Macaca mulatta: one gene and its partners. Each later gene encodes a partner of the first gene's protein in a complex. Links are inferred from orthologs where the notes say so. Each region holds a gene or a part of one and is shown in the gene's direction. Other genes may lie near its edges. The genes, in order: SF3B2, EFTUD2, DDX46, GPKOW, HTATSF1, DHX16 and RBMX2.

Evidence for each region.
Region 2: SF3B2 (region 1) and EFTUD2 share a complex: the UniProt entries of both Homo sapiens proteins name them as parts of the minor spliceosome. The link is inferred for Macaca mulatta from reciprocal best matches to the Homo sapiens genes SF3B2 and EFTUD2.
Region 3: SF3B2 (region 1) and DDX46 share a complex: the UniProt entries of both Homo sapiens proteins name them as parts of the 17S U2 SnRNP complex. The link is inferred for Macaca mulatta from reciprocal best matches to the Homo sapiens genes SF3B2 and DDX46.
Region 4: SF3B2 (region 1) and GPKOW share a complex: the UniProt entries of both Homo sapiens proteins name them as parts of the minor spliceosome. The link is inferred for Macaca mulatta from reciprocal best matches to the Homo sapiens genes SF3B2 and GPKOW.
Region 5: SF3B2 (region 1) and HTATSF1 share a complex: the UniProt entries of both Homo sapiens proteins name them as parts of the 17S U2 SnRNP complex. The link is inferred for Macaca mulatta from reciprocal best matches to the Homo sapiens genes SF3B2 and HTATSF1.
Region 6: SF3B2 (region 1) and DHX16 share a complex: the UniProt entries of both Homo sapiens proteins name them as parts of the minor spliceosome. The link is inferred for Macaca mulatta from reciprocal best matches to the Homo sapiens genes SF3B2 and DHX16.
Region 7: SF3B2 (region 1) and RBMX2 share a complex: the UniProt entries of both Homo sapiens proteins name them as parts of the minor spliceosome. The link is inferred for Macaca mulatta from reciprocal best matches to the Homo sapiens genes SF3B2 and RBMX2.

Annotation. Positions count from the first base shown.
Region 1 is NC_133419.1:8,360,784-8,365,200, reverse strand, and holds the start of SF3B2 (splicing factor 3B subunit 2), read left to right. Parts: upstream 1-1,537; 5' UTR 1,538-1,562; coding exon 1,563-1,695; intron 1,696-1,850; coding exon 1,851-1,897; intron 1,898-2,204; coding exon 2,205-2,282; exon of another isoform or gene 2,283-2,404; intron 2,405-3,018; exon of another isoform or gene 3,019-3,147; intron 3,148-3,711; exon of another isoform or gene 3,712-3,767; intron 3,768-4,280; exon of another isoform or gene 4,281-4,292; coding exon of another isoform or gene 4,293-4,328; coding exon 4,329-4,417. UniProt on the Homo sapiens protein: Component of the 17S U2 SnRNP complex of the spliceosome, a large ribonucleoprotein complex that removes introns from transcribed pre-mRNAs.
Region 2 is NC_133421.1:69,266,465-69,270,326, reverse strand, and holds part of EFTUD2 (116 kDa U5 small nuclear ribonucleoprotein component), read left to right. Parts: intron 1-1,029; 5' UTR 1,030-1,729; coding exon 1,730-1,834; intron 1,835-3,862. UniProt on the Homo sapiens protein: Required for pre-mRNA splicing as component of the spliceosome, including pre-catalytic, catalytic and post-catalytic spliceosomal complexes. Component of the U5 snRNP and the U4/U6-U5 tri-snRNP complex, a building block of the spliceosome.
Region 3 is NC_133411.1:143,701,795-143,705,656, forward strand, and holds part of DDX46 (probable ATP-dependent RNA helicase DDX46), read left to right. Parts: intron 1-872; coding exon 873-986; intron 987-1,671; coding exon 1,672-1,837; intron 1,838-2,675; coding exon 2,676-2,796; intron 2,797-3,862. UniProt on the Homo sapiens protein: Component of the 17S U2 SnRNP complex of the spliceosome, a large ribonucleoprotein complex that removes introns from transcribed pre-mRNAs.
Region 4 is NC_133426.1:49,200,968-49,204,829, reverse strand, and holds part of GPKOW (G-patch domain and KOW motifs-containing protein), read left to right. Parts: intron 1-1,046; coding exon 1,047-1,156; intron 1,157-3,343; coding exon 3,344-3,557; intron 3,558-3,862. UniProt on the Homo sapiens protein: RNA-binding protein involved in pre-mRNA splicing. As a component of the minor spliceosome, involved in the splicing of U12-type introns in pre-mRNAs.
Region 5 is NC_133426.1:142,836,323-142,839,654, forward strand, and holds the end of HTATSF1 (17S U2 SnRNP complex component HTATSF1), read left to right. Parts: intron 1-292; coding exon 293-430; intron 431-1,015; coding exon 1,016-2,218; 3' UTR 2,219-2,548; downstream 2,549-3,332. UniProt on the Homo sapiens protein: Component of the 17S U2 SnRNP complex of the spliceosome, a large ribonucleoprotein complex that removes introns from transcribed pre-mRNAs.
Region 6 is NC_133409.1:152,391,584-152,395,544, forward strand, and holds the end of DHX16 (pre-mRNA-splicing factor ATP-dependent RNA helicase DHX16), read left to right. Parts: intron 1-81; coding exon 82-149; intron 150-736; coding exon 737-899; intron 900-997; coding exon 998-1,159; exon of another isoform or gene 1,160-1,195; intron 1,196-1,411; exon of another isoform or gene 1,412-1,455; coding exon 1,456-1,629; intron 1,630-3,021; coding exon 3,022-3,150; downstream 3,151-3,961. UniProt on the Homo sapiens protein: Required for pre-mRNA splicing as a component of the spliceosome. Contributes to pre-mRNA splicing after spliceosome formation and prior to the first transesterification reaction.
Region 7 is NC_133426.1:136,863,301-136,867,908, forward strand, and holds the start of RBMX2 (RNA-binding motif protein, X-linked 2), read left to right. Parts: upstream 1-1,563; 5' UTR 1,564-1,578; coding exon 1,579-1,583; intron 1,584-1,794; coding exon 1,795-1,910; intron 1,911-3,362; coding exon 3,363-3,414; intron 3,415-4,608. UniProt on the Homo sapiens protein: Involved in pre-mRNA splicing as component of the activated spliceosome. As a component of the minor spliceosome, involved in the splicing of U12-type introns in pre-mRNAs.

The DNA of each region.
Region 1 (4,417 bases):
GCTAGAAAGGTTCTGCCTGAGTGGGCTGACAAGCTGGAGGGAAGGGCACCATTGTTCTGTCTTCCTTACTGTCCTTTCCAGGTTTGGCTTCCCCTCTGGGAGTGGCAGCAGGAGCCTGCCATAGTGATATTGATGCAAAGGGGAAAGGTCAAGGTTTGGGTAGGAGGAAGAGGACTTCCCACCCAGTGCTAGGATGTGAGCCAACCTTTCTCAACCCAATCCTTTTCCCTGTCTCTCCCAAACCTCACCTTCCCCAGACCTGGTGCCCCATTCTTTTTTCCCCTGTTCCCAGCTTCTTCTCCACGGGGGGCAGTTGGCAAAATGGAGCTGGAGAAAAGATCTGAAGGGGATGTTTGGGGGAAAATGAGACCATTTCACTGAAGTCTCCCCATTCCCGTACTCAATACACATAAAAACACACACAGTGAGCCTGGCTGTTAGTGACAGGGCAGAGCTAGTGGCAGAGGTGGGGAGAGAAATTGAATTGATGGTGTGGGACAGCGAGAGGTGGATGCTAGGCAGGCAAGAATCCCTGCCAGTATCTGCCTCTGTCCCCAAAGACCACGGGGAGTTGGGGTGGGGAGTGGGCGGCAAGGTGGGCCCCCAGTGCAGGTGCGGCTGAGGGAAAAGGGGCCTGAGTTTATTTTTGAGACTAAAAGACACAAATACTGTCACCAGAAACATTGTTCCTTTTTCCCAGTAATCATTTATTGGGCGCCTCTTGAACGGCAGGTGATGCGAGACTGAAAAAGATCAAGTCCCTGCTCACATTTTTGGGATGCAGGTAGGAAGAAAGGGCAAGAAAGACTTATCAAACGGTGGAGATTCGAATGTATTATGGGAACTCTAAGAAAGGAAAGGAAAGCGGGAGAAAGCTTAGTGAAGACGACATTTGAGCCGGCTTGGAAGGTGGAAAAGGGGGCTTTAGTGTCGCCCTTCCCCCAGGTCGGCAGCTGGAGCTCAGCCCGGGCGGGCCCGCTCCTCTCCTGGCTCGGATCCCCTTTCAGCCCATTCATCCGGGCCTGGGCCGGGGGTGGGCGGGCAGACAATCAGACACTGTTTTATCCCGGGCATTGGCTCCAGCCTCCCGCTTGGCGCCCGCAACGCGGAGCCGCCGGGGAAATGAGTCTCTCGGGACTCCCTGGGAGCGTAAGAGTCCGAGGCTCTGACCGGGGAGCCGGGCCGGAAGGCTTGACAGCCTGCGCTCCCGCAGGTGAGGCGCAGAAAACACTCCCTCCGGGCAGGGCCAGCCTTCCCCGCAGCCCCGCCCTCCGGCCCGCCGCCGGCCTTCTGGGCCGTAGCCTGGCGCAGGGCCCGCAGAGACCGAGACCTGCGCACTACAACTCCCAGGAGGCCTAGCGACCAGACGGCCGAGGGGCCACTGGAGAAAGGGGCGTCTGCGGCGAATCCCGTCGCCTAGCGTACCGCAGCGGGTGGGCCTCCGTGCGCGTCGCCTCCCAACCAGAGAGGACGTGGCGTACGGCGCCGCCGGAAGTTCCGGAAAGTGGGCCCAGAGGCCGGCCCGAGCTTCCGGGTTGGTCGCGCGCCTTGCTGCGGCCAAGATGGCGTCCGAGCATCCCGAGCCTCCCAAAGCGGAATTGCAGCTGCCGCCGCCGCCACCTCCAGGCCACTATGGCGCCTGGGCTGCCCAGGAGCTTCAGGCCAAGTTGGCAGAGATCGGAGCTCCGATCCAGGGTGAGGAACACAGAAAGTCGAGGGACCTTTACGGGCCTGCGGAGAAGCGGAGCCTGGTTACCCGGGAGACCCGGGCGCGAGGGGCGGAGGCGGGCAGCTGGGGTCTGACCTGGCCGGGCTTGCCTGCTCCATTGATCGTGTACTTTGCCCCGCAGGTAATCGCGAGGAGCTGGTGGAGCGGCTGCAGACCTACACCCGCCAGGTAGGTGTTGGCGGCGGGACGTCAGGATAGGCCGAGCTTCTCCAGGAGACCTTATATACCCCATCACGGCTCGGTCTTCATTCTTTCTTTATCTTGGCACAGCAAGGCGGAGGCTTGCCCTTTTTGGCTTGTTCTTGCCTTTGCCAGCTTAGTTGTAATTTCTTGTATCCATCTTGGTCCTCTTCAGTGCCCAGCCGGAGCGCTGGCAGACAGGCACTGGATACGTTTTGTTAAATGAATTGGGAGAGATCGTCGATTAGTGAAACAGCTAGTTTTGGACTGACCTAGAGTCCTTTCTCTTTTGCAGACTGGCATCGTGCTGAATCGGCCGGTTTTGAGAGGGGAAGATGGGGACAAAGCCGCTCCACCTCCCATGTCAGCGCAGGTAGGGAGGTTCTTCCATTTTTTAAGATTCTATCTGCTGATCCTTTTGTAGTTCATGAGCATGATGATTCGGTGTTCGCGTGCATGTGTGAGACGTCACACCCTTGCACATCTCGCCTGACCTGAGTGGGGAATAGAAAGATTCCATCTGTTCAGGGTAGCCCTTCCTCTCAATTGCAGTGTACTTGAGATGCAACTGACTGACTGGGCAAGGAGGTACTGCCATGACAGAATTGTGAGCTCTTCAGTTCTCTCTTTGATGCTGATACTTGCCTCCTTTTCCACTGTCTGCTTCTCCAAATTCTACCTGTCATTCAAGATTCAGCTTGTGGCCAGGTGCAGTGGCACATGCCCGTAATCCCACCACTTTGGGATGCTTAGATGGGAGGATCACTTGAAGCCAGGGTTCGAGACCAGCCTGGGCAACACAGTGAGACTCTTGTTACTACAAAAAATTTTTAAAAATTAGCTGGGCACGGCAGCACATGCCTATAAAGTCCAAGCTACTGTCTAAGCTGAGGCTCAAGGATTGCTTGAGCCCTGAGGTTCAAGGCTGCAATGAGCTCTGGTTGCGCCACTGTACTCCATGTACTCCATCCTGGGTGACAGAATGAGACTTTACTTCTCTGAAAAAAAAAAAAAAAAAAGGTTGGGGGGTGATGGGGCAGGGGCTGGGAGATTGTCAGGAAAAATAGCAAATGCACGCCAGAATTAATACCTAGGCAGTGGGTTGATAGGTGCAGCAAACCACCATGGCACACATTTACCAATGTAACAAACCTGCACATCCTGCACGTGTGCCCCAGAACTTACAATAAAATAAAATAAAATAAAAAAATAGGGGGAAAAAAAAGAGGCAGGGGATGGTGGCTCATGTCTGTAATCTCAGCACTTTGGGAGGCCAAGGCGGGTGGATCGCCTGTGATCAGGAGTTTGAAACCAGCCTGGCCAACATGGTGAAACTGTCTCTACTAAAAATACAAAAATTAGCTGGGCGTGGTGGCACATGTCTGTAATCCCAGCTACTTGGGAGGCTGAGGCAGGAGAATCTCTTGAACCCAGGAGGCGGAGGTTGCAGTGAGCCAGTGAGCCGAGATCAGGCCACTGCACTCCAGCCTGGGCGATAGAGCAAGACTGTCTCAAAAAAAAAAAAAAAAAAGAGAGAGGCAGGGCGTGGTGGCTCACGCCTGTAATCCCAGCACTTTGGGAGGCCGAGGCGGGCAATCACTTGAGGTCATGAGTTTGAGACCAGTCTGGCCAACATAGTGAAACCTCGTCTTTCCTAAAAATACAAAAATTAGCCGGGCATCGTGGCAGGCGCCTGTAATCCCAGCTACTTGGGAGGCTGAAGCACGAGAATTGCTTGAACCTGGAAAGCAAAGGTTGCAGTGAGCTGAGATTGCACCATTGCGTTCCAGCCTGGGTGACAGACTCTATCTCAAAAAAAAACAAAAAACAAAAAACAAAACAGCTTGAATACAAGGAAGCCCGACTTGTCCCTACCCAGCTGGAAGCAATCACCCTCTTCTTTGCCTGCCCCAGGAACAGTTCCCATGTTCTTTTGTGAGACATTGAGAGCTCCCTGATTTGATTTCATACTCCTTGCATTTAGCAGTCATTGGGGTTTGCATTGCCCTGGTACAGTGGTTCCTGTTTATTTAAGTCCTCTCAATTTCCATGTTGCTTCTGATCCAGGATTTGCTTCTTTTTCTCTAAAGCAGTGGCTCTGACCTAGGATCTATTGATTTCTGTGTGTAGAATGAGGAGTCCCTAGATGGCCTCAGAGGTGTCTTTGAGTCTCCTGGAATTGTATGCAGAGTCTGTATTCAGGATATCTTTCTGGAGAGAGTGGATAGCTTATTGTGGTTGGTGCCGGAAGTTAACATTCTCATATCTTTATAGGGCTATGGAGCATTCTCTCTTACGAATTAGGAACTATGTGTCATTTGACTTAGAATCCCAGCTCCTGACTCAAAGTAGATCCCCCAGATATGTGCAGATGAGTAGATAAATGTTTCCTAATTTTATGATCATATTTTCTCCACAGCTCCCTGGAATTCCCATGCCACCACCACCTTTGGGACTCCCCCCTTTGCAGCCTCCTCCACCTCCCCCACCACCTCCACCAGGCCTTGG
Region 2 (3,862 bases), on another chromosome or scaffold:
ACTGTTTCTTTGAATAGAATTTCAGTAATTGAAGTGGAAAAAACCCACAAAACACTACTTACTTACAAAGGGAAAATGAGTAACTTTACAATAGAGAGGCCTGGCAAACATCACCTTAATGAAGTGATCAAAGTTAACGTTACCACCAATGAGGCAAATTGAAATCATGTATCACCTGATAGGAAATGCTTTGAGAACCACAGTTCTCACATGTTCTCACAGCATCACTTCTATGATATTCCTGCCTAAAACACATAACCTGAATATTATCATAAGGTAACATCAGACAACCTCAAATCAAGGGACATCCTTAAGGATGTCACGACAGTCCTTGGAAGGAAAGACTGAAGATTGTAAATCCAAAGAGACTAAAGACATGACAACCAAATGCAAACATGATCCTGGATTGGATCCTTGGGCGTGTAAGATATTATTGGAACAATCTGTGAAACGTATTGGAACAATCTGTGAAACTTGAATGGGATCTGTAAATTAGGTGGTAGTAATGTGTGAATATTAATTTTCTGATTTTGATGGTTGTGTTGTGGTTATGTAGAAGAATGTTCCTGTTTGTAGGAATCACACAAGGTGAGGGAGAGGTTGGCAAACTTTTTCTGTTAAGGACTGGATAGTATTTTAGGCTTTGTGAGCCATATGGTTTCAGTCCCAACTACTCAACTCTGCTATTACAGTGTAAAGGTAACTGTAGATGATGTAAATGAATATGCATGGCTGTTTTCCAGTGAACCTTTTTTTTTTTTTTTTTTTTTTTTTTTTTTTTTTGAGATGGAGTCTCGTTTTGTCTCCCAGGCTGGAGTGCAGTGGTGCCACCTCAGCTCACTGCAACGTCCACCCCCTGGGTTCAAGGGATTCTCCTACATCAGCCTCCTGAGTAGCTGGGATTACAGGCATATGCCACCATACCTAGCTAATTTTTGTATTTTTAGTAGAGACAGGGTTTTGCCATGTTGACCAGGCTGGTCTCGAACTCCTGACCTCAGGTGATCTGCCCGCCTTGGCCTCCCAAAGTGCTGGGATTACAGGTGTGAGCCACTGCGCCAGGCCTCCCAATGAAATTTTTTAAGTAGACACAGACATTTGAATTCCTTATAATTAATTTTCATGTATTGTGAAATATTTTTCTTTTGACAATTTAAAAATGTTGAAAAGCATTCTTAGCTAGAGGGCCATGCAGAAACAGCTGGAGAGGCCAGATTTGGCCACAGGCCAGAGTTTGCACACCCTTACACTAAAGTATTAGGAGGTGATGAGCCACTGTGTCAACAGCTCACTTTCAGATAATTTAGGAAAAAGTAAGTTGTTTGTACTATTCTTGCCACTTTTTGACATTGAGTTATTTTAAAATTAAATTTGGTATTAAAGAAGTGGAGGAAGGGGACCTCCTCTTTTGGCTTTGGAGCACCCCGCCCCATCTCTGTAGTGGGGAGCTTCTTCCTTCTGTCTTCTTTCCTTCTTGCCTATTAAACTCTGCTTGAAACAAACAAACAAAAAAAAAGTGGAGGGAAGACTACATAAATAGAGACATGTAGGGCAGAGACTTGGGTAAAGTACTGGTCTTTGGGAGGAGCCTTCAGTAGATTGATGTCACTGGGAGGAGGCATGTTCTGAAAGGGGTATGGCCAACTATAAGACTAGGTAGGTGGGGCCACCACATGGAGGCCATGATTACTTTGCCAGAATCTAACTCCTTTCCTTGAATTTTAGCATCATGGACACCGACTTATATGATGAGTTTGGGAATTATATTGGACCAGAGCTTGATTCTGATGAAGATGACGATGAATTGGGTAGAGAGACCAAAGATCTTGATGAGGTAAAGCAAATATATTGCTCTTTTCATCTCGCTCTTACTTATTTTTATTTAAGACAAGGTCTCACTCTGTTGCCAGGCTTGAGTGCAGTGGCGCAATCTCAGCTCACTGCAACCTCCACCTCCTGGGCTTAAGTGATTCTCCCATCTTGGCCTCCCAAATAACTGGGACTACAGGCATGCATCACCATGCCCAGCTAATTTTTTTTATTTTTCATAGAGACAAAATGTTGCCCAGGCTGGTCTCGAACTCCTGAGCTCAAGAATCCACCCGCCTTGGCCTCCCAAAGTGCTGGGATTACAGGCGTGAGCCACCATGCCCAGCCCCCTCTTTTCTTTTCTCTCTCTCTTTTTTTTTTTTTTTTGAGACAGCCTCACCCTGTTGCCCAGGCAGGAGCACAGTGGCACCATCTTGGCTCACTGCAGCCTCTGCCTCCCAGATCCAAGCGATTCTCATGCCTCCGCCTCCTAAGTAGCTGGGATTACAGGTGTGTGCCACCATGCCTGGCTAATGTTTTTTGTATTTTTAGTAGAGACGGGGTTTCACTATGTTGTCCAGGCTGGTCTTGAACTCCTGACTTCAAGCAATCCACATGCCTTGGCCTCCCAAAGTGTTGGGATTACAGGTGTGAGCCACCGCGCCTGGACAGATTTATTTTTTTTTAATTATATTGAGGTATATAACAGAGATGCATAGATTTTGGTAATGGAGACAGGAAAGAAAGATGTCCATTCTAAGACTGGGCGCATTGGCTCATGTCTGTAATCCCAGCACTTTGGGAGGCTGAGGTGGGCGGATGACCTGAGGTCAAGAGTTTGAGACCAGTCTGGCCAACATGATGAAACCCCATCTCTATTAAAAATACAAAAATTGGCCGGGTGCGGTGGCTCAAGCCTGTAATCCCAGCACTTTGGGAGGCCGAGACGGGTGGATCACGAGGTCAAGAGATCGAGACCATCCTGGCTAACACGGTGAAACCCCGTCTCTACTAAAAAATACAAAAAACCAGCCGAGCGAGGTGGCGGGCGCCTGTAGTCCCAGCTACTCGGGAGGCTGAGGCAGGAGAATGGCGTGAACCCAGGAGGCGGAGCTTGCAGTGAGCTGAGATCCGGCCACTGCAGTCCAGCCTGGGAGACAGAGCGAGACTCCGTCTCAAAAAAAAAAAAAAAAAAAAAAACACACAAAAATTAGCTGGGCATGGTGGCATGCACCTGTAGCCCCAGCTACTCCGGAGCCTAAGGCAGGAGAATCTCTTGAACCCAGGAGGTAGAGATTGCAGTGAAACTCCATCTCAAAAAAATAAAAAAAATTAAAAATTTTAAAAAACAATGATAAAAGAATACTGGTTTAGTTTTATTTTAGACTTGTTGAGCTACTGTAGACTCGGTAGAGGTAATTACAGGCAGTCAGAAATGATTATATAAAATCCTGCAGTTAGATTCATAATATATTCAGCAGTATGGGGCAGTAGAAAACTGGCTTGATAGCTATTTTGGAGCCACCACCAGTAAGGTATATGTGGCTGCCAAAAGAGCTAATGTAATCTTAGGCCAGTTTAGTAGAAGTAGAGTGTAAGATGGTAGGAGGTAGCCAGTCTTACCACTGGAGGGTTTTGTGTTCTTAAGGAAGAGGTTGGCATGCTGTAATTTGTGTGAAGGAAAGCAAGCACCCAGCAGTCCCTCTACCCACCTGCCTACACCTGTACTCATATACGATGCCTTCCTTTCCATTCTTATGAATTATTTGTTCATGCTTCTGTCTACTAGAAACTAATCCCATCCCTTCTCACCTCTCAAGACCTTTGGCAGTTCTGCCCTCTCTCTCCTGTGCCATCAGTTTTCCCTGTCTACCAGTTCATCCCCATCAGCATACACAGAAAAAATGTCATTTCATCCTAAAACTCTCTCTTGACCCCATATCCCTCTTCATTTACCTCCAGATTTTCCCTGCTTTGCAGTGCAGCACATCTCAAATGAGTTGTTCATAGTTGCTGTCTCCAGATCCTCTCCTCCCATTTTCCTTCAAACCCA
Region 3 (3,862 bases), on another chromosome or scaffold:
AAAATATATATATATATATGTATAAAATATAAATATATATATATATATAAAATTGGGCACGCTGGCTCATGCCTGTAATCCCAGCACTTTTGCAGGGACTTAGGTGGGTGGATTACCTGAGATAAGGAGTTCGAGACCAGCCTGCCAACATGGCGAAACCCTGCTTCTACTAAAAATACAAAACTTAGCTGAGTATAGTGGCGGGCGCCTGTAATCCCAGCTACTGGGGAGGCTGAGGCAGGAGAATTGCCTGAATCTGGGAGGCAGAGGTTACAGTGAGCTGAAATCATGCCATTGCACTCCAGCCTGGGTGACAAGAGCAAAACTTTATCTCAATAAATAAAGTATATATAATATTATATAGAATTATCTATAATACAGTAAATGATAAGTGGATGTATTATAAAATATAATTATATTATGCTTAAAAATTTATACAAATTAATGAGAAAAACAGTCTGTTGTTTCTATTTTCATTTAATAACTCAGTTGGCTCAATGTCCTGGCTCACAACTGCAATCCCAGAACATTTGGTAGGCTGAGGCTGGTAGATCACTGGAGCCAAGCAGTTCAAGACCAGCCTGGGCAACATAGCATGACTCTTTCTGCCAAAAAGCAAAAAAAATTAACTGGGTTTGGTGATATGTGCTTATAGTCCTAGCAACTCAGGAGGACAGATGGGATGACTCCTTGAACCCAGAAATTTGAGGTTACAGTGAGCTACGATCACACCACTCAAGCCTGGGTGATGGAGACCATGTCACTAAAAAAAGAAACTAAAGACGAAATTTTGTCAGTTATTGTGGGCTTCGGCTGTCATATAACTTGCGTTTCAGCTTTGCAAAATATTCTATATTTCTTCTTTATTTTAGAAGTCTGGGCCAACGGTCACAAAAGTTGTCACTGTTGTGACAACCAAAAAAGCAGTTGTGGATTCTGATAAGAAGAAAGGTGAGCTGATGGAGAATGACCAGGATGCCATGGAGGTGATTTTTCATTAATTTTGACTTTGTTTATGATACTATCCTGGAAGCATTTATTAGAAAGCATTCATGGAGATGTGCTTTTCATTTATGTGAACTAGGAGAAATTCCCAGAATTGGGAGACATTCTTGCTATTCTTAGTAGTAGTATAGTATCTAGTTAAATATCTATTTAGTGGAACATTCTGATGTCTTTCATTCCTAACTGTATGATCTTTCTGCCCCTCATCAGCTCACTTCAGGCATACAATATGGAGAGAAAAAAATGAAGTAACAGAATGAATTAACTTTCTTTCCATTAACACGTATTGTAAAGATTTATATAGTAAAAACAGTAGCAAAACCTTATTAGAGCCGTCTCTGATCATTACTGTTTTAGCTTTATATTGGCATTTTAACTCTCTAAAGGGCAAAGAAAAAGAAAAGTAAGTCGAAAAATTCTTCAGGAGCTTCTTGATGTATTTCTAATTCAAGATGACATACATCATTTGAGGTGATTTTAAAATTAAGAGGTTTAAGTGTGCTGGAGCACTATAAAAATCTTGTGGGTCAAACAGTGTATTGCAGAAAGTAAAAAAATTAGAGTAGTTTCTAGGAGAGGAAGATTTGAAAAGCTAGGAGTATTGCTTCCCACAAGAGGAAAATAGTAATGAGCTTACCTCTTTAATTTTTTTCTTTTAAACTATAGTATTCTTCAGAGGAGGAAGAAGTTGATCTTCAGACAGCCCTTACAGGGTATCAAACAAAACAGCGAAAGCTTCTAGAACCAGTTGATCATGGAAAAATTGAATATGAGCCATTTAGGAAAAACTTCTATGTCGAAGTTCCAGAACTAGCAAAAATGTCTCAAGAAGGTAAAATTCCATTTTTTCATTTACTAACAGAAGAGGATACATTTCACATTACTCAAGAGAAATGTGGATAGTGTCTGATGAAGGAGGGTGTTTTCGAAATATTTTTAAAATGATCAAAAATTAATTGGCCAGGTGCGTTGGCTCACACCTGTAATCCCAGCACTTTGGGAGGCTGAGGTGGGCGCATTGTTTGAGCTCAGAAGTTCGAGACCAGCCTGGGCAATAGAGTGAAACCCCATCTACTAAAATACGGAAAAGTAGGCCGGATGCAGTGGCTCACGCCTGTAATCCCAGCACTTTGTGAGGCCTAGGCAGGCAGATCATGAGGTCAGTAGTTCGAGACCATCCTGGCCAATATGGTGAAACCCTGTCTCTACTAAAAAAAATACAAAAATTTTAAAAATTGTTTGTTTTGTTTTGAGACAGGGTCTCTCCCTCCATTGCCCAGGCTGGAGGCTGGAGTGCAGTGGTGCAGTCATGGCTCACTACAGCCTTGATTTCCTACCACACCCCACATCCCCCTGATAGGCTCAGGTGATCTTCCTATGTCAGCCTCCTGAGTAACTGGGACTACAGGCATGTGCCACCACACCCAGCTAATTTTTGTACTTTTTGTCGAGGCAGGGTTTCACCATGTTGCCCAGGTTGGTCTTACAACTCCTGGGTTCAAGGGATCTGCCTGAGTCTGCCTCCCAAAGTGCTAGTTGCTAGGATTACAGGTGTGAGCCACTGGGCCTGGCATAAGAGTTAAAGATTCTTCATCTTATGCCTAATTGAAAAGTAGAAGACACCAATAGAACAATATTTAAGAACTTTTAATCTGGGTTTTGTTTTGTAGAGGTAAATGTGTTTCGATTGGAAATGGAGGGCATTACAGTTAAAGGAAAAGGTTGTCCCAAACCAATTAAATCCTGGGTCCAGTGTGGAATTTCCATGAAGATCTTAAATTCCCTCAAAAAGTAAGTGGTTGGTGGTTGTTTATGTTTTCTGTGTCTTGCTGCTCAAAATAGTCCTTTCACACCAATGTCTCCCTGAGTTACATTTTTACTCTAAAAACAACTTACGTTTAAAAAAATTGTTTTATTGAGATAATTTACATATCAAAATTTACCCTTTAAATTATACAACTGCTTTTTTTTGTTGTTTGAGACAGAATCTTGCTCTGTTGCCCAGGGTAGAGTACAGTGGTGCGATCTCACTGTGCTCACTGTGACCTCAGCCACCCGGGCTCAAGCAGTTATCCTGCCTCAGCCTCTTGAGTAGCTGAACTATAGGTGTGCGCCACTACGGCTGGTTAATTTTTAAAATATTTTTAGTAGAGACCAGGTTTCCCCATGTTGGCCAGGCTGGCCTTGAAATCCTGACCTCAGGTGATCTGCCCGCCTCAGCCTCCCAAAGTGCTGGGATTACAGGCGTGAGCCACCATCCCTGGCTTTTTAAATTTTTTATTTATTTTTTTCTTTTTTGAGACAGAGCCTCCCACCTCTTCCCTCAGGCATGCATTGGCATGATCTCGGCTCACTGCAACCTCTGCATCCCGGGTTCAAGCGATTCTTGTGCCGTAGCCTCTTAAGTAGCTGGGATTACAGGTACCCGCCACCACACCCAGCCAATTTTTGTATTTTTGTATTTTTAATAGAGACAGGGTTTCGCCGTGTTGGTGAAGTTGGTCTCAAACTCCTGACTTCAAGTGATCCCCCCACCTTGGCCTCCCAAAGTGCTGGTTAAATTATGCAACTTGGCTGGGACAGGGTCTCACACCTGTAATCCCAACACTTTGGGAGGCCAAGACAGGCAGATCACGAGGTTAAGAGATCGAGACCATCCTGGCCGACATGGTGAAACTCCGTCTCTACTAAAAATACAAAAATTAGCTGGGTGTGGTGGCGCATGCCTATAGTCCCAGCTAACCTGTAGTCCTAGCTACTTTGGAGGCTCAGGCAGGAGAATCGCTTGAACCCGGGAGTCAGAGGTTGCGGTGAGCTGGGATTGTGGCACTGCACTCCAGCGTGGTGACAGAGAGAG
Region 4 (3,862 bases), on another chromosome or scaffold:
GAGTTCAAGACCAGCCTAACCAACATGGCGAAACCCCATCGCTAGTAAAATTACAAAAATTAGCTGGGCATGGTGGAACATGTCTGTAATCACAGCTACTCAGGAGGCTGAGGCAGGAGAATCGCTTGAAACCAGGAGACTGATGTAGCAGTGAGCTGAGATTGTGCAACTGCACTCCAGCCTGGGCAACAGAGCAAGACTTCATCTCAAGAAAAAAAAAAAAAAAAAAGAAAACCTTGGAGTCATCCTCAATTCCCCTCTTTATTTCATGCCCCATACACTCTGCCAGCACAATCCTTCATCTTTTTTCAAAATGACACCCAGAACTGACCACTTCTCACCGCCACGAGCATCTCTCATCTGGACTATTAGAGTAATTTCCTCACTGGTCCCTCTTATGGCTCCCACCTGGCTCAGGGTCCTCTGACTCCTGCCCAGCTCTCCTGATTTGATCTCTTCCCCACCCTTCTCTGCTCTCTACTCTCACTATCTCCATTTCAGTCATGGTGACTTTTACCCCTCACACATACCAAGCCTTGTCCAGCCTCAGGGCCTTTGCTGTAACTGTGCTTTCAGCTCGGGACACTTTCTTCTCATATCCTCATGGCTCCCTCTGCTATCATTTCCTGATCTCTGCTTAAATGTCAACCCAGAGGCACTCCCTCTCCATCCCTCTGCATCTTCTTACCCTGCTTTCTTGTTCTATACGTCACCACCTGACATATCATGTTTTCTGGGTTTTATTTATAGTATGTCTCCACAACTAGATCAGAAGCTCTGCAAGGGTAGGGGTTTTTGTCTGTTTGGTTCACAGCTTCATCCCCAGTACCTAGAACAGTACTTGCCATAGACTAGGTGCTTTCTATTTGTTGAAGGACTGAACATGGAGGAGTACAGTGAGGGATGGAAAGAGGAAATCAAAACACCCTTGAGCTGATTGGAAAAGATGCGTAGCAGGTCTCCCAGTGGGTGGCAGCAAGTGCACTTCAAACAGAGGACCCAGTGTAAGCAAAGCCTGACCCTCCTTCCTCTACCTGAACCTGTAGGTGCCAGAGGAGGCTAATTATGAGGCGGTCCCCGTGGAGGCCTATGGGCTGGCCATGCTGCGGGGCATGGGCTGGAAACCTGGCGAGGGCATCGGCCGCACCTTCAATCAGTGAGTTCTGGGATAGGGGCGAGGGGACAGACAGATCAGGCTGCAATCAAGATCCCCAGGGTCACTGCCAAACCAGAACCACTCCAGGCAGGGAGGGAGGATACATTATCGCCCTAACTAATTCAGTAGCCCCTTCCACTACTGTTTTAAACTCCCATTTGCCCTTTGAAACTCTAATAGGATCCCATTTATATAAAGTCTGCCTCTAGGGACATCAATTTCTTCATCTGAAAAATGGGGGTAATAGTACTGACTTCACAGGTCTGTTGTGAGAGTTAAATGAAATTATACACATAGGCCAGGTAGTGGCTCATGCCTGTAATCCCAGCATTTTGGGAGACTGAGGCAGGAGGATCACTTAACCCCAGGAGTTTGAGACTGGCCTGGGCAACATAGGGAGGCCCCATCTCTACAAAAGATTAATTCATTTTAAGAAAAGAAATTAGGCCGGGCGCGGTGGATCAAGCCTGTAATCCCAGCACTTTGGGAGGCCGACAAGGGCGGATCACGAGGTCAGGAGATTGAGACCATCCTGGCTAACAGGGTGAAACCCCGTCTCTACTAAAAAATACAAAAAACTAGCCGGGCAAGGTGGCGGGCGCCTGTAGTCCCAGCTACTCCGGAGGCTGAGGCAGGAGAATGGCGTAAACCCGGGAGGCGGAGCTTGCAGTGAGCTGAGATCCGGCCACTGCTCTCCAGCCTGGGCTACAGAGCGAGACTCCGTCTCAAAAAAAAAAAGAAAGAAATTAGAGCCAGGCGCAGTGCCTTGTGCCTGTAATCCCAGCACTTTGGGAGGCTGAGGCGGGTGGATCACAAGGTCTGGAGATCAAGACCATCCTGGCTAACACGGTGAAAGCCCATCTCTACTAAAAAAAAAATACAAAAAATTAGCCGGGCATGGTGGCGGGCGCCTGTAGTCCCAGCTACTCAGGAGGCTGAGGCAGGAGAATGGCGTGAACCCAGGAGGTGGAGCTTGTAGTGAACCGAAATCGCACCACTGCACTCCAGCCTGGGCGACAGAGTGACACGCCATCTCAAAAAAAAAAAAACAAAAAAGATAAACTATATACGTAAAGCACATACAGTAGGCCCTGACCCCAAGAAAGCGTAGACTAAACATTTGCTATTGTCATGCAGACTTACAACCCTTTCTTCGCAATTGCAAACTCAAGAATTGTGAAAACCAAACATTTTTTTCATAACCCATTGGCAGCCAACTATGACCTGAATTGGCGTTGAGTTTTTTTTTTTTTTTTTTTTTGAGATGGAGTCTCTGTCTGTCACCCAGGCTGGGATGCAGTGGTGCAGTCTCAGCTCGCTGCAACCTCTACCTCCTGAGTTCAAGTGATTCTCCTGCCTCAGCCTCCTGAGTAGCTGAGATTACAGGAATGCACCAGCACGCCTGGTTAATTTTTGTATGTTTAGAAGAGATGAGGTTTCCCCATGTTGGCCAGGCTGGTCTTGAACTCCTGACCTTAGGTGATCTGCCAACCTCAGTCTCCCAAAGTGCTGGGATTACAGGCATGAGCCACCGTGCCCAACCATGTTGAGTTTTTATAGTCCGTTTCTCCTGCTTGGTGTGAATATTCATATGATTTCCCCTGTAGAAATAGTATATTTGGTTACAGTGATCTGCCTCTGATCTCACTGTAGATATTATGTAATAGATGGTATATGCAGCATGTTATTAGGTCGAACCAAATGAAATTGCTGTTTCTGTAGGTCAAAAACAGTCCTAATATGAGATCGGAAAGGGCAACCTTGAAAATACCGATGGGGGCCAGACATGGTGACTCACACCTGTAATCCTAGCACTATGGGAGGCCAAAGAGGGCGGATCAGCTGAGGTCAGGAGTTCGAGACCAGCCTGACCAACATGGTGAAACCCTGTCTCTACTAAAAATACAAAATTAGCCAGGCATGGTGGCATGCTCCTGTAAACCCCAGCAACTTGGGAGGCTGAGGCAGGAGAGTCGCTTGAACCCAGGAGGCGGAGGTTGCATTGAGCCGAGATTGAGCCATTGTACTCCACCCTGGATGGCAAGAGCAAAACTCCGTCTCCAAAAAAAAAAAAGAAAAGAAAAGAAAATGTCAATGGTGGGGGTGGGGGTTTGGGCAGGGAGAGGAGGTAAATAAGGTGTTGAAGACTATTGCATCCTCTCCAACAAACCCATGTTCTCCCTGCAGAGTAGTGAAGCCCCGTGTCAACTCACTGAGGCCCAAGGGGTTAGGGCTGGGTGCCAACCTGTCTGAGGCCCAGGCCTTGACCCCCACCGGCCCCTCCCACATGCCAAGGCCAGATGAGGAGCAAGAGAAGGATAAGGAAGATCAGCCTCAAGGGCTGGTGCCAGGAGGAGCTGTGGTGGTTCTTTCTGGCCCTCACCGAGGCCTCTATGGGAAGGTAAGGAACCAAGATATCCCGGGAGCCCAAAACAGGCAGTAGGGAAGGTTGATCCGAGGGTCAGATGGAGGAATAATTGGGTTTGAGGTAGAAAGGCTGGGAGTCCTAGTCTTTTAGGTCTGCTTGGCCCACTGCCTCACTCAGTAACCCGGGACCACTTGCTGGCCTTTGTGAGCCTCAGTTCCCAGCTAAAAGGAAGAGAGTGCCATATGCCACAAGTCCCTGAGGATTAAATGCTTAAAGGATCCAAGGAAGCCCCACAGTCAGTTGAGGGAGACACAGGAACCAGACCTAGTCCCACTTCT
Region 5 (3,332 bases), on another chromosome or scaffold:
CTTCAGAGTTTACACTCTTAACAATTATACTGTCCTGCTTCTCATTAGACAGGGATGTCAGCAGAAACATTTCCAAGGACATTGTGCTTGGTTCTTGCTAGGTAAGATTAAGGTAAAGAAGCAGCTGACTGCATGTGACTGGCTGGGATAAAAGGGAAGAAAGACTTCATACATAAAGTCTTTTACTTCAGAGTATCAGAGAGAACACTACTACTTACCTACTTTGTGAAATGTATGTGTTTTATTTTTAATCTTACCGTTCATTCCTTTTTTTTCTTTCTTGTCTTTCTAGAGGCACCCAGATGGTGTGGCCTCTGTGTCCTTTCGGGATCCAGAGGAAGCTGATTATTGTATTCAAACTCTGGATGGAAGATGGTTTGGTGGCCGTCAAATCACTGCCCAGGCATGGGATGGGACTACAGATTATCAGGTAAATTCTGCAGCTTGTCAGGGACACACACGTTGTTTCATTACCAACAAATACTGATCCTTCAGATCTAAATTTTGGGTTTGGTTTAACCTATTTAATGTAACAATGCTTCTTTTCTTTTTATTTATTTATATGTTTTAATTTTTTACTCTTCCTCTTTATTATTTACAGTGCTTCTTTTAAATAATATTTTGCATTCAGAAGATAAAGAACTATTTGAGTTTTTCAGTTTATAAGTCTGAAAGTTTGAGGCTTGTTCAGAATAGTGATAAGAAAAGAACACATTCAACCAAATGTTACTCTTCCTTTGTATGCTGTGAAGTATGGACAGAGCTCAAATATTAACTTTTTAAGAGATGAGACATTTCTGCAGTACTGTGATATTTGGCCTTTATTCAAGTGATCTTATTTAAGGTCAACTCTAGTAAATCAAGATGTAAAGTTTTGAAAACTGAAGACAGGGTATTGCTTTCCTAAGAAGAGATGCTTTATAAAATTAAGGTTGTTTCATCAATATTAGATATGTTCAGAAAAGTAACCTTTTGCCTAAAACTTATTTTAATGGCAGTCTCCATTTATCCACAGGTGGAGGAAACCTCAAGAGAAAGGGAGGAAAGGCTGAGAGGATGGGAGGCTTTCCTCAATGCTCCGGAGGCCAACAGAGGCCTTAGGCGTTCAGATTCTGTCTCTGCTTCCGAAAGGGCAGGGCCTTCTAGAGCAAGGCATTTTTCAGAGCACCCCAGCACATCTAAAATGAATGCTCAAGAAACTGCAACTGGAATGGCGTTTGAAGAACCTATAGATGAGAAGAAGTTTGAAAAGACAGAAGATGGGGGAGAATTTGAAGAAGGTGCTTTTGAAAACAATGCTAAAGAAAGTAGCCCCGAAAAAGAAGCCGAAGAAGGCGTCCCTGCAAAAGAATCTGAAGAGGGCTGCCCCAAAAGAGGGTTCGAAGGTGGCTGCCCCCAAAAAGAGTCTGAAGAAGGCAATCCCGTAAGAGGATCTGAAGAGGGTAGTCCTAAAAAAGAGTCTAAAAAGAAGGCACTCAAAAATGATTGTGAAGAGAATGGCCTCGCAAAGGAATCTGAAGATGACCCCAACAAGGAATCTGAAGAGGAGGCTGGCCCCACAAAAGAGTCCGAAGAAGATGACTCAGAGAAAGAGTCTGACGAAGACTGCTCTGAAAAACAGTCTGAAGATGGCTCCGAAAGAGAATTTGAAGAAAATGGTCTCGAGAAAGATTTGGACGAGGAAGGCTCTGAAAAAGAGCTTCATGAAAATGTTCTTGACAACGAGTTAGAGGAAAATGACTCCGAAAACTCTGAATTTGAAGATGACGGCTCTGAAAAAGTGTTAGATGAGGAAGGCTCTGAGAGAGAGTTTGACGAAGATTCAGATGAAAAGGAAGAAGAGGATGATACATATGAAAAAGTATTTGATGATGAGTCCGATGAGAAAGAGGATGAAGAATATGCAGATGAAAAGGGGCTTGAAGCTGCTGGTAAAAAGGAGGAAGAAGGTGATGCAGATGAAAAGCTGTTTGAAGAGTCAGATGAAAAGGAAGATGAAGATGCAGACGGAAAGGAAGTTGAAGATGCTGACGAAAAGTTGTTCGAAGATGATGATTCCAATGAGAAGTTGTTTGATGAGGAGGAAGATTCCAATGAGAAGTTGTTTGATGATTCTGATGAGAGGGGGACTTTGGGTGGTTTTGGGAGTGTTGAAGAAGGGCCCCTATCCACTGGCAGCAGCTTTATTCTCAGTAGCGATGATGATGATGATATTTAATCCCTTAAACTTGCTTTTTAGGGAGAGTCCTCCATCTACATTTGCCTGTGCTTCAGGGTAATTACTAGTAGTGTTACATGAACATGTGCATAGTGGTAGGATGCCATCAGATTAAAGCATTGAAGTTTTTCATTGTTACCTGTACCTAATGGTTTTAAATATATGTTAATTGATTGTTTAGTTAAAATGTCATAGTTACAATGCAAGTAAACTGGATACTTGTTCTTTTGTCAGATTTGTTAAATGCATGCAGAATAATATTTTTAAAAGCATTGATTGAAGTTTGTGATATTCATCAATAAAAAGTTGATAATACGCAGAAACTGAAAATTGGACTTGAGGTAAATTGCATTGTAAATTCTTGATACCGCTTTATTTATACTGACGGTTGGCTTTTCTGAGGACTTGAAGAATCCCTTTGTAGTCTCCTTGCTTCCCGCTGGTAGTAGCACATATGTCTCCATTTCCTCTCTATAAACCAGAACATGTTCCTAAACTCAGAAAACAACCCTCTGGATTTGCTTTTTCTGCCCAGCCCTTGCAAATTAACTCTTGTTTGTTTTCTACCCTCTTTCCATTAAAATTGACTCTCAGATGTGCAAAAGTGAATTTCCTGTGGTCTACAGCTCCCATTATTATTAAAAATCTAGAGAACCAGATTAGAATTCTGCCTTGTACTGTTAGCCTCCTTGGGCCCCTTTAGAAGTTAATTCAAGTTAGAGGACCTCTTCCCAGAAAAAAATGGGGAGGTTCATGGATGCCCTGAAGTTGAAGAACTTCATGCATGCTTCAGTTGTTCGTTTTTTTAGAATCTTAGTGCCTAGCACTGTGCAAAGTTGTGTAGTCCCAATAAAATTGTGGGTCTTTCTTGATTATGCTTTCCAAATTCAGTATTGATGAATTTACTTTTGATGTAGCATTAAGAAGCTGTTCTCAGAAATTAGAAGCATTAAAATAAACTGCATTGGTGCTCTTTCATTACAGTATCTGTAAGTGTAACCCTCTAGATAGAGAAGAGTTCCTATACTTCAAGTCTGTTTTTATTTTGAGAATTTTTTAGTTGATGTCTGGGATTTCGTAAAATCTTCAGGATTTTCACCAGGGATAAGTCAGT
Region 6 (3,961 bases), on another chromosome or scaffold:
AGGATGGCTCCAGGGGCCCCTGTAGTAGTAGTGGGAAACCTGAGGGAGGACTGAGCTCAACTCTCTCTCTCCTCTCCCTAGTCTGGTCGAAAGATGGCAGAGCTGCCGGTGGACCCCATGCTGTCCAAAATGATCTTAGCCTCTGAGAAGTAAGCCCTCCCCTCCACCTGGTCTCCCAGCACACATACTGGCCAGGCCTCCTCTTGTCTCTGGGGTCCTCTTTGTCGTTTTCTCTTCATCATATTATCCTTTAACACATAAGAAAGTATTAGATAACTCTGATTGCCCTCTTTTGAGGGTAAGACACTTGATCCTATCCTTGATTCCACTGTGCCTGGCCCCTTGAGGAACTTACTCGTTCCTAAGGTTTGAAACTAAAACATTTAATGTAGCTGTGGAGGGACGACCTTTAAATGCCATTCCTCTGCTGTCAGAGATCTTTTCCAAATGCACATAGTGAATGCACACTTTCTGCAGAAGCCTCAGAAGTCCCCAGTGTTTCCTGCTCCTGCCTCCATGGATGTCCCTCCTTTGTGACTGTGTTTCATCTATGGCCCCTACCTCCTTGACCCCCAGGCTGCTGCCAGAATCTATCTGCTGGCTGCTTTGTAGCCATTAGGCCAACCAGCCTTTTCCACATGAGGGAACATCCATCACACAGTGATCACTCCCCACTCCACCATATCTGTTCCTATGTGTCTTGCTTTGAACTCATGCTTTCCCCTTCCTGTCCCAGGTACAGCTGTTCAGAGGAGATCCTGACAGTGGCTGCCATGCTCTCTGTCAACAACTCCATCTTCTACCGACCAAAGGACAAGGTCGTCCATGCTGACAACGCCCGTGTCAACTTCTTTCTCCCTGGTGGTGACCACCTGGTTCTGCTAAATGTTTACACACAGGTCACTGGGCTTGGGTGAGTGGGAATGAGAGACACCGGGGGACTTTAGTCCTACTGTATACTTAACTGTCTCTCCTTTCTTTTTAATCCTTTTCCCAGTGGGCCGAGAGTGGTTACTCTTCCCAGTGGTGCTATGAGAACTTTGTACAGTTCAGATCAATGCGCCGAGCCCGGGATGTGCGGGAACAGCTGGAAGGGCTCTTGGAACGTGTGGAAGTTGGTCTCAGTTCCTGCCAGGGGGACTATATCCGTGTACGCAAGGTCAGCATTTCTTCAGCCTCCTGCTCTCCACCCCCAGTACCTTCCCAGGAGCAAGCTTCTCTAGGGGCATGCAGCAGTTCCTCCAGCCTGAGAGCATGCCCTCTTCCCCTTATGTATGACGGTGTCCTCCCAGGGCCCTTTCTTCCCCAGACCACTGGAGGTTCATTCCTGGGAAGTTCTTCATGCATTCCTTACCTCTCTAGTTTTCCTGAAGCTGGAATTAAAAAGGTAGTGAGCTCTTAGGGTCCCCAGATGTCTGCCTTTTCCATTGATTTTCTTTCCTGCCTGCTCCTTAGGCCATCACTGCTGGTTACTTTTACCACACGGCACGGTTGACTCGGAGCGGCTACCGCACAGTAAAACAGCAGCAGACGGTCTTCATTCATCCCAACTCCTCCCTCTTTGAGCAACAGCCACGCTGGCTGCTCTACCACGAACTTGTCTTGACTACCAAAGAGTTCATGAGACAGGTGAGGACAACATCCTGTGCCCACACAGGTGGAGACTATGTAGAGAGATGGTATCCTGACAAGCTAAGAACCCAGGTTCAAGTTGCTGGGACTGGTACAGAAAGAGGAAGGTAGGGTAAAATAGAAAGACATCCTTTGTTTTGTTTTTGTTTTTGAGACTGAGTCTCGCTCTATTGCCCAGGCTGGAGTGCAGTGGCGCAATCTAGCCTCACTGCAACCTCTGCCTCCCGGGTTCAAGATATTCTCATGCCTCAGCCTTCCAAGTAGCTGAGATTACAGGTGCAAGCCTCAATGCCTGGCTAATTTTTGGTATTTTTAGTAGAGATGAGGTTTCACCATGTTGGCCAGGCTGGTCTTAAATGTGTGCCTCGGCCTTCCAAAGTGCAGGGATTACAGTTGTAAGCCACTGTGCCCAGCCCAAAGACATCCTTTCTAACAGGTGTCAGCATCTTCCAAGATCTGAGAACTAGACATTTATTCAATACATATTTGAATGGCTACTGTATAGGTGCTGGGGCTATAATGAACAAAGCAGAGTGTCTCGTCTCACAGAGTACTTTGTCTATGTTCTAGGCTTTTCTTTTTTTTTTTTTTGAGACAAGAGTTTCGCACTCTAGTAGCCTACGCTGGAGTGCAGTGGCACAGTCTCAGCTCATGCAATCTCTGCCTTCCAGTTTCAAGCAATTCCCCTGCCTCAGCCTCCAGCTGGGATTACAGGTGCCCACCACCACGCCCAGCTAATTTTTGTATTTCTAGTAGACAGGGTTTCACCATGTTGGCCAGGTTGATCTCGAACTCCTGACCTCATGATCCGCCCGCCTCAGTCTCCCAAAGTGTTGGGATTACAGGCGTGAGTCACCACGCCCGGCATGTTCTAGACTTTTCTTAGGAATAGCTTATTTGGTATCTTGAATAACACATAGAGGTGTATCTGCCCTTTGGATATATAATAATAGAGCCAGGCACCTTTACCCCTAGCCCTGCAGTCAAAGAGGAAAGATAACTTTTGACCACACACATGAGGATCTAGGTTGGGGCTGGGCATAGTGGCTCATTCTTGTAAACCATCCTAGCACTTTGGGAGGCCAAGGCAGGATCCCAGCACTTTGGGAGGCCAAGATCAGCCCAGGCAACATACTGAGACCCCATCTATACAAAAAATTAATGGGGCACTGTGATGTGTGCCTGTAGTCTCAGCTACTTGGGAGGCTGAGGCAGAAGGACTGCTTTGAGCCTGGGAGGTCGAGGCTGCAGTGAGCCATGATACGCCACTGCAGTCCAGCCTGGGCAACAGAGCAAGACCCTGTTTCAATTTAAGAAAAAAATAATAATACACAAAAGATCTATGTTGGAAAGAAGGGAACTCCATTGATCTTTTCTCTCTCCTCCTAGGTACTGGAGATTGAGAGCAGTTGGCTTCTGGAGGTGGCTCCCCATTATTATAAGGCCAAGGAGCTAGAAGATCCCCATGCTAAGAAAATGCCCAAAAAAATAGGCAAAACACGAGAAGAGCTAGGGTAAGAGAAGGACGTAAACAGAACCTGTGACACCAGCTCCTCTTCCTTCTATACATTATTTAATACCTATTAAATAAAATTATTTTTGGAATAAAGCTTGTGGGAATATTTGGGATCTAGAGAAAGTGATACATGAAATTCTATCTCATATAGTCAGTTAAACTTTATTATTTACAAGTTAAATTACAGAGCAGCTTTACACAGCATGAGATGGAAAGGCAGGCAGGAGAGAAAGGGAGGAAGCTGGCTCCTGAGATTCTTGGCTGCCTCCACCTCCTTCTCTTGGGCTTAGCAGTCTTCAGTGCTGCCCCCACTCAAAGCAGGGCTTGGAACACAGGTTTAAGTCAGGTTCTGGCTCTGACAGCCCCAGGGCCACCAGGGCTCCCACTAGCAGCTTCTTCACAGGTGTTGGAGGTGAGTGTGAAGGCATCAACTGCAAGGAGAAAGGTTAATGCCAGTTGCGGGAGGCACACAGATGTTCTACCCTTCACCCCACCCAGCCCTACCTAGGACTCACTTTATCTAGACGATGGCGACAAATGAGGCCACTGGAATTCAGGTAGAAAGTGGAGTAGGCATCATAGGTCCTGGGGAATACAGGGAGGCTTACTGAGGGAGAAGGTGACTGGTCCCAAAGCTGAATTCAAGCATTTGTTTAAACGAGTAGTCTCTAAATTCTGCTACATATTAGATCACCTGGGCAACTTACAAACATCTCAGTGCTTAGGTTGTCCCGTCTCAATTAAATCAGTGTTTGGCATCAATATTTTTTAACGATCCTTGGGCATTTCTACCATGCAGCAGTTTGGGAACTG
Region 7 (4,608 bases), on another chromosome or scaffold:
TACTTTTAGAACATCATGGTCCAAGAGCAGGTACTGATGTGGACATGTGCAAAATGGATTCAAACTGTCAATATGGGTTAAATCACATATTATATGTTAATCATCTCTTCCACTGGTTTCTAGATATTTCTGGTTGAAATCTATCAGGCAAATATATCTTGTCCCCTTAATTATAATATTAGCTCCTTGAGGGCAGAGGACCCACCCTGATACTCCTGTCTACAGACCTTAGCTGCACAGGACAAATCTAGATGTTCAGTAAGGACTGATTGAATCAACCTGACCTACTGGGTGCAGGTACTCTAGTACCTTTCTAGTTAATTTATTCATTTGAGCCTCATTTCTTCCTCTACAAAACGAGGGTGGAAATTTCTTTTACTTTCTCTTTCTTTTTTTTTTAAAACAAGGAGTCTCGCTCTGCTGCCCAGGGTGGAGTGCAGTGGTGCGATCTCAGCTCACTGCAACCTTTGCCTCCCAGGTTCAAGTGATTCTCCTGCCCCAGCCTCCCGAGTAGCTGGGATTACAGGCGTGTGCCACCATGCCTAGCTAATTTTTGTATTTTTAGAGGAGACAGAGTTTCACCATGTTGGCTGGGTAGGTCTTGAACTCCTGACCTCAGGTGATCCACCTGCCTTAGCCTCCCAAAGTGTTGGGATGACAGGTGTGAGCCACCACACCTGGCCCCCCCCTTTTTCCTTTATTTTAGAGACAGGTTCTGCTATGTTGCCCAGGCTGGTCTCAAACTCCTGAGTTCAAGCAATCCTCCTACCTCAGCTTCCCAAAGTGCTGGGATTACAGGCATGAGCTGCTGCGCCCGGCCAGGAATTGTAATTTTATCTGCTTCATTGGGTTGTTGTGAGGGTGGAGAGACAATACATGTAAATTGCTTAGCACATACTCTAGTATCATACAGTACATCATCTGCTCACTTGCTAGCTATTAATTTAACAATATTAATTTCTGTCTCCTGCTCAACTAGGAGAGAGCCTATGGAAAAGAGTAAGTGCAGCGGCTCTCATGCAAATCTGTAGGTATTCAATTCAGCCTATAGAGGCACACTGGTCTGTTGCCTATGTATTGGGATAAGAACAACAGAAGATTTACCTTTTCACCTATCTTCTTCACTTTTCTGCCATGACAGGGATGCTTTGATGGGTCTGTGCGTGAGCAACTGACTAGGAGCGAAGGTCCAAGTGGGACTCTGGACTGGGAGCGAGGGCTGAGACTAAAGTCGCCACATCAGGCTGCTTATTCCGTTCATTCAGCAAATATTTATAGCTAATCTAACCAGTTTCCGATATCGTTCAAGAGCTGGGGGTCCTGCAACAGCCCAGGCTCGTGCCTTTACCCCATTTCACAGAGGAGAAAAAGCGAAAAATTAGAGAAAAACCGTTTCTACAAGAGGTAACTGCAAAGAACGCGGAAGGCTTCTAGTGCGCAGGCGCCACGCCCCGGTACGCCCCAGCTCTTCCGGCGCGAGGTCACCGACTCGACGAGCCACCGGCGCCGGGGCCGCGCATGCGTGGCGCTGCCTTTCCCGGGCGCTGATTCCTGAATGCTGAGCGCGAGCCCGCGGAGATGAAGTAAGGCGTCAGCTTCCTTTTGAGGAACGAGCAGCGGGCCGCTGAGGGTGGTCTACCGGGGCTGGGGTGGTAGAGCGTCTGCGGGGTCGAGGGGCGGGAGAGGCGCGGGGACTAGCACAGCTCGTCCCCTTGTTTTGCTCTTCTTCAGCTTCGGCCGGTTAGCATTTACTTGTCTGCTTTTCTGCCTCCCCTCCCCCCCGCCACCGTGAAGTCCTTTAACTAAGGTGAAGCTGATCAACGAGCTGAATGAACGAGAGGTCCAGCTTGGGGTGGCCGATAAAGTGTCCTGGCACTCCGAGTACAAGGACAGCGCCTGGATCTTCCTGGGTGAGGTGCACATCTTTCTTCCGCAGTGCTCCCAAGATTCTCCTGCTCGGTGTCCGACTATTTCAGCATTTTCACCCTTCACTCCTGCTTACATTCATTGCCCTCCTTTATATCCATCTGCTGTCTGCCCGGGAATCCGTGTTCCATCTTTTTTTTTTTTTTTTTTTTTTCTGCCCCATTTTTAGTTTTCCTTCCCAGCCAAATCAGTGCTCATGAGAGTTACTGTTTGCCATTTGCTGTGCTAAGGTTCAGGGACTGTTGTTATTTCTCTCTCACCCCCTGACCCGTTATTACAGCTGAGGAAATTGGGGTGCAGAGAAGTTAAGGGACTTCCTTAAGGTCACATAGCTAATAACCGCAACAGGCAGAACTATAGCTTTCTAGAACTCATGGTCTTAGCCACAGCCCCATATTGCTACCACCGCCCTCCCCCATTCCCCTTCCCTTGCAGAATTCACTTTGCTCCTCTAGCTCCTGCTTTCTGACCATGGCCACACTACCATTACTGTATTCACTTTATATCACAACCAGTAATTGTACAAGTTTGATGCTTCAAAGAGGTTATTGTAAAAACGTTGTGCTAAGCACTTTATATGCATCGTTTTATTTAACTCTTATAACAGTCTTGCGAGTTACCTGCTAATATCCCCATCTTACAGATGAGGAAAGAAACATTTGGAAGGGAAATTATTCCCTAGGAAATGCTTAACAGTGTCTTTATAACCTTTGTCTATGTGTAGGTGGGGTTAATCATGACATATGTAGACTAATTTTGTATCATAGCTGTAAATTTGTGGGTAATGAGCAGATGAATTCAACATGTTTGTGGAAGCAGAGGTTTGTGATGGAAACTATCTGCTTTGCCCATAGGATTTTGGGTGCCAGGAGGACTGAGTGATCAGTTTACTTTTGTTAGTGGTGACACTGACTTCCACTCAAAATTAGTCACTCCTTTTCCTGTTCTACTGGCACCTTACATGTACTTCTGTCATTGCATCAGACTTGATTTCTTTCTTTCTTTTTTTTTTTTTTTTTTTGAGTTGGAGTTTCACTCTTGTTGTCCAGGCTGGAGTGCAGTGACGTGATCTCGGCTCACTACAACCTCTGCCTCCTGGGTTCAAGCGAGTCTCCTGCTTAAGCCTCCTGAGTAGCTGGGATTACAGGTGCCCGCCACCTCGCCCGGCTAATTTTTTTTGTAGTTTTAGTAGAGACGGGGTTTCGCCATGTTGACCAGGCTGGTCTCGAACTCCTGACCTCAGGTGATCCACCCGCCTTGGCCTCCCAAAGTGCTGGGATTACAGGCGTGAGCCATGGTGCCCAGCCCAGACTTGATTTCTTTAAGGGCAGGGCCTGTTGCTTACTGTTTGCACCCCTAGTGCCTGGCCTAGTGCATGGTACGTAGTAAACACTTGGTAAATGTTGGTGGAACTGAAATGTGGTTTTCTTTTCTAGGAGGGCTTCCTTATGAACTGACTGAAGGGGACATCATCTGTGTGTTCTCACAGTAAGTCCCCTTTCATTTCCTGCCTCCTGAGTCGACAGAGTACTTTTTTCTGTAATGCATTTTGTGGCATCACAAAAACCACTTATTTTCACTCTAGGCTGAATGGCGTCCCTGCATGGGGAGGGCTGGAGCTTCTGCTCTAGTCTAGATCAGTCCCAGGACATGGTTCTAGAATGTTCTCCTGTGGGAGATCCAAGAGGTTTGTTAATTTGGGAGGCCATCTTGGGGATTCTAGTCTATTTCTGTTGTTTTTCACTGAGGTTTGTTCAGCCTGGGCCTAGACTGGAACAGACTGGAACCCTCAGGAAGGTTCCATATTGGTACGCCTCCTTGGGCTCTTGCAAACTAGGGGTAACCCATGGTCACAGGGCCCTTCTGGTCCTTGCCTGTGTGGCATCATACGACTGGGGCAAACCACAGAGGAATTGGGATGAAAAACAGAAAGAAGGTTGTAGTTTGCTTTCTTTGATTCTCAATGAATGTAAGGTTAGTGAGCAAAGCCAATCTCTACCTGGAGGCTGAGAATCACAGCCTGACGAGGAACAAGAATGAATAGGAGATCTGTATATTCTTCATTCTGCTGAGGTGTTGGCAGCAGCATTTGGTGGGAGAGGGTGTTGGTGGCTCATACTGGTAGTAGCAGCTAGTAGGAGAGGGGCTGGGCAGCTGGCCTGCAACCCCAGAGGTAAACAGCACAGTTAGTCCACAGGGCCAGAGGATCTTGGCACAGGTGCAAAGGACCACTACATTTGGGTTTTGTAGGCCTTCAGAGCATAGTACTGTTTCAGAGAAGTTGGACAGCATGTACAGGTAGCAGACCATGGCAAAAGGGGCTGGCCAAGCAAACACAGGTAGCATACACTGGCAGAGGGATTGCTATGGCAGGATGGTAGGGCCATCCATGGACAGAGGGCCCTGGCTGAGTGGTTGGGCCACTTATGGGGCAGCAAGCCATGGGAAAGGAATTGGGCAATACCCGTGAGAAGAAGGCTGTGATAGAGAACCTGGGCAACCCACACGAGTGGAGGGCCCTGGCAGGGACAAAGATTGCTTCCTTCAACTTGTGGATGTTGCAAGGTTCACAGCAGGTGCAGCCTATAATTTCTACCCCTTTGTGTACTTCTACTCAGCCTTCCCTCTTGGAGCTGTTTAGTTCTACTTGCATTGAGTGATGATCAGCTAGCACGTGTGCTT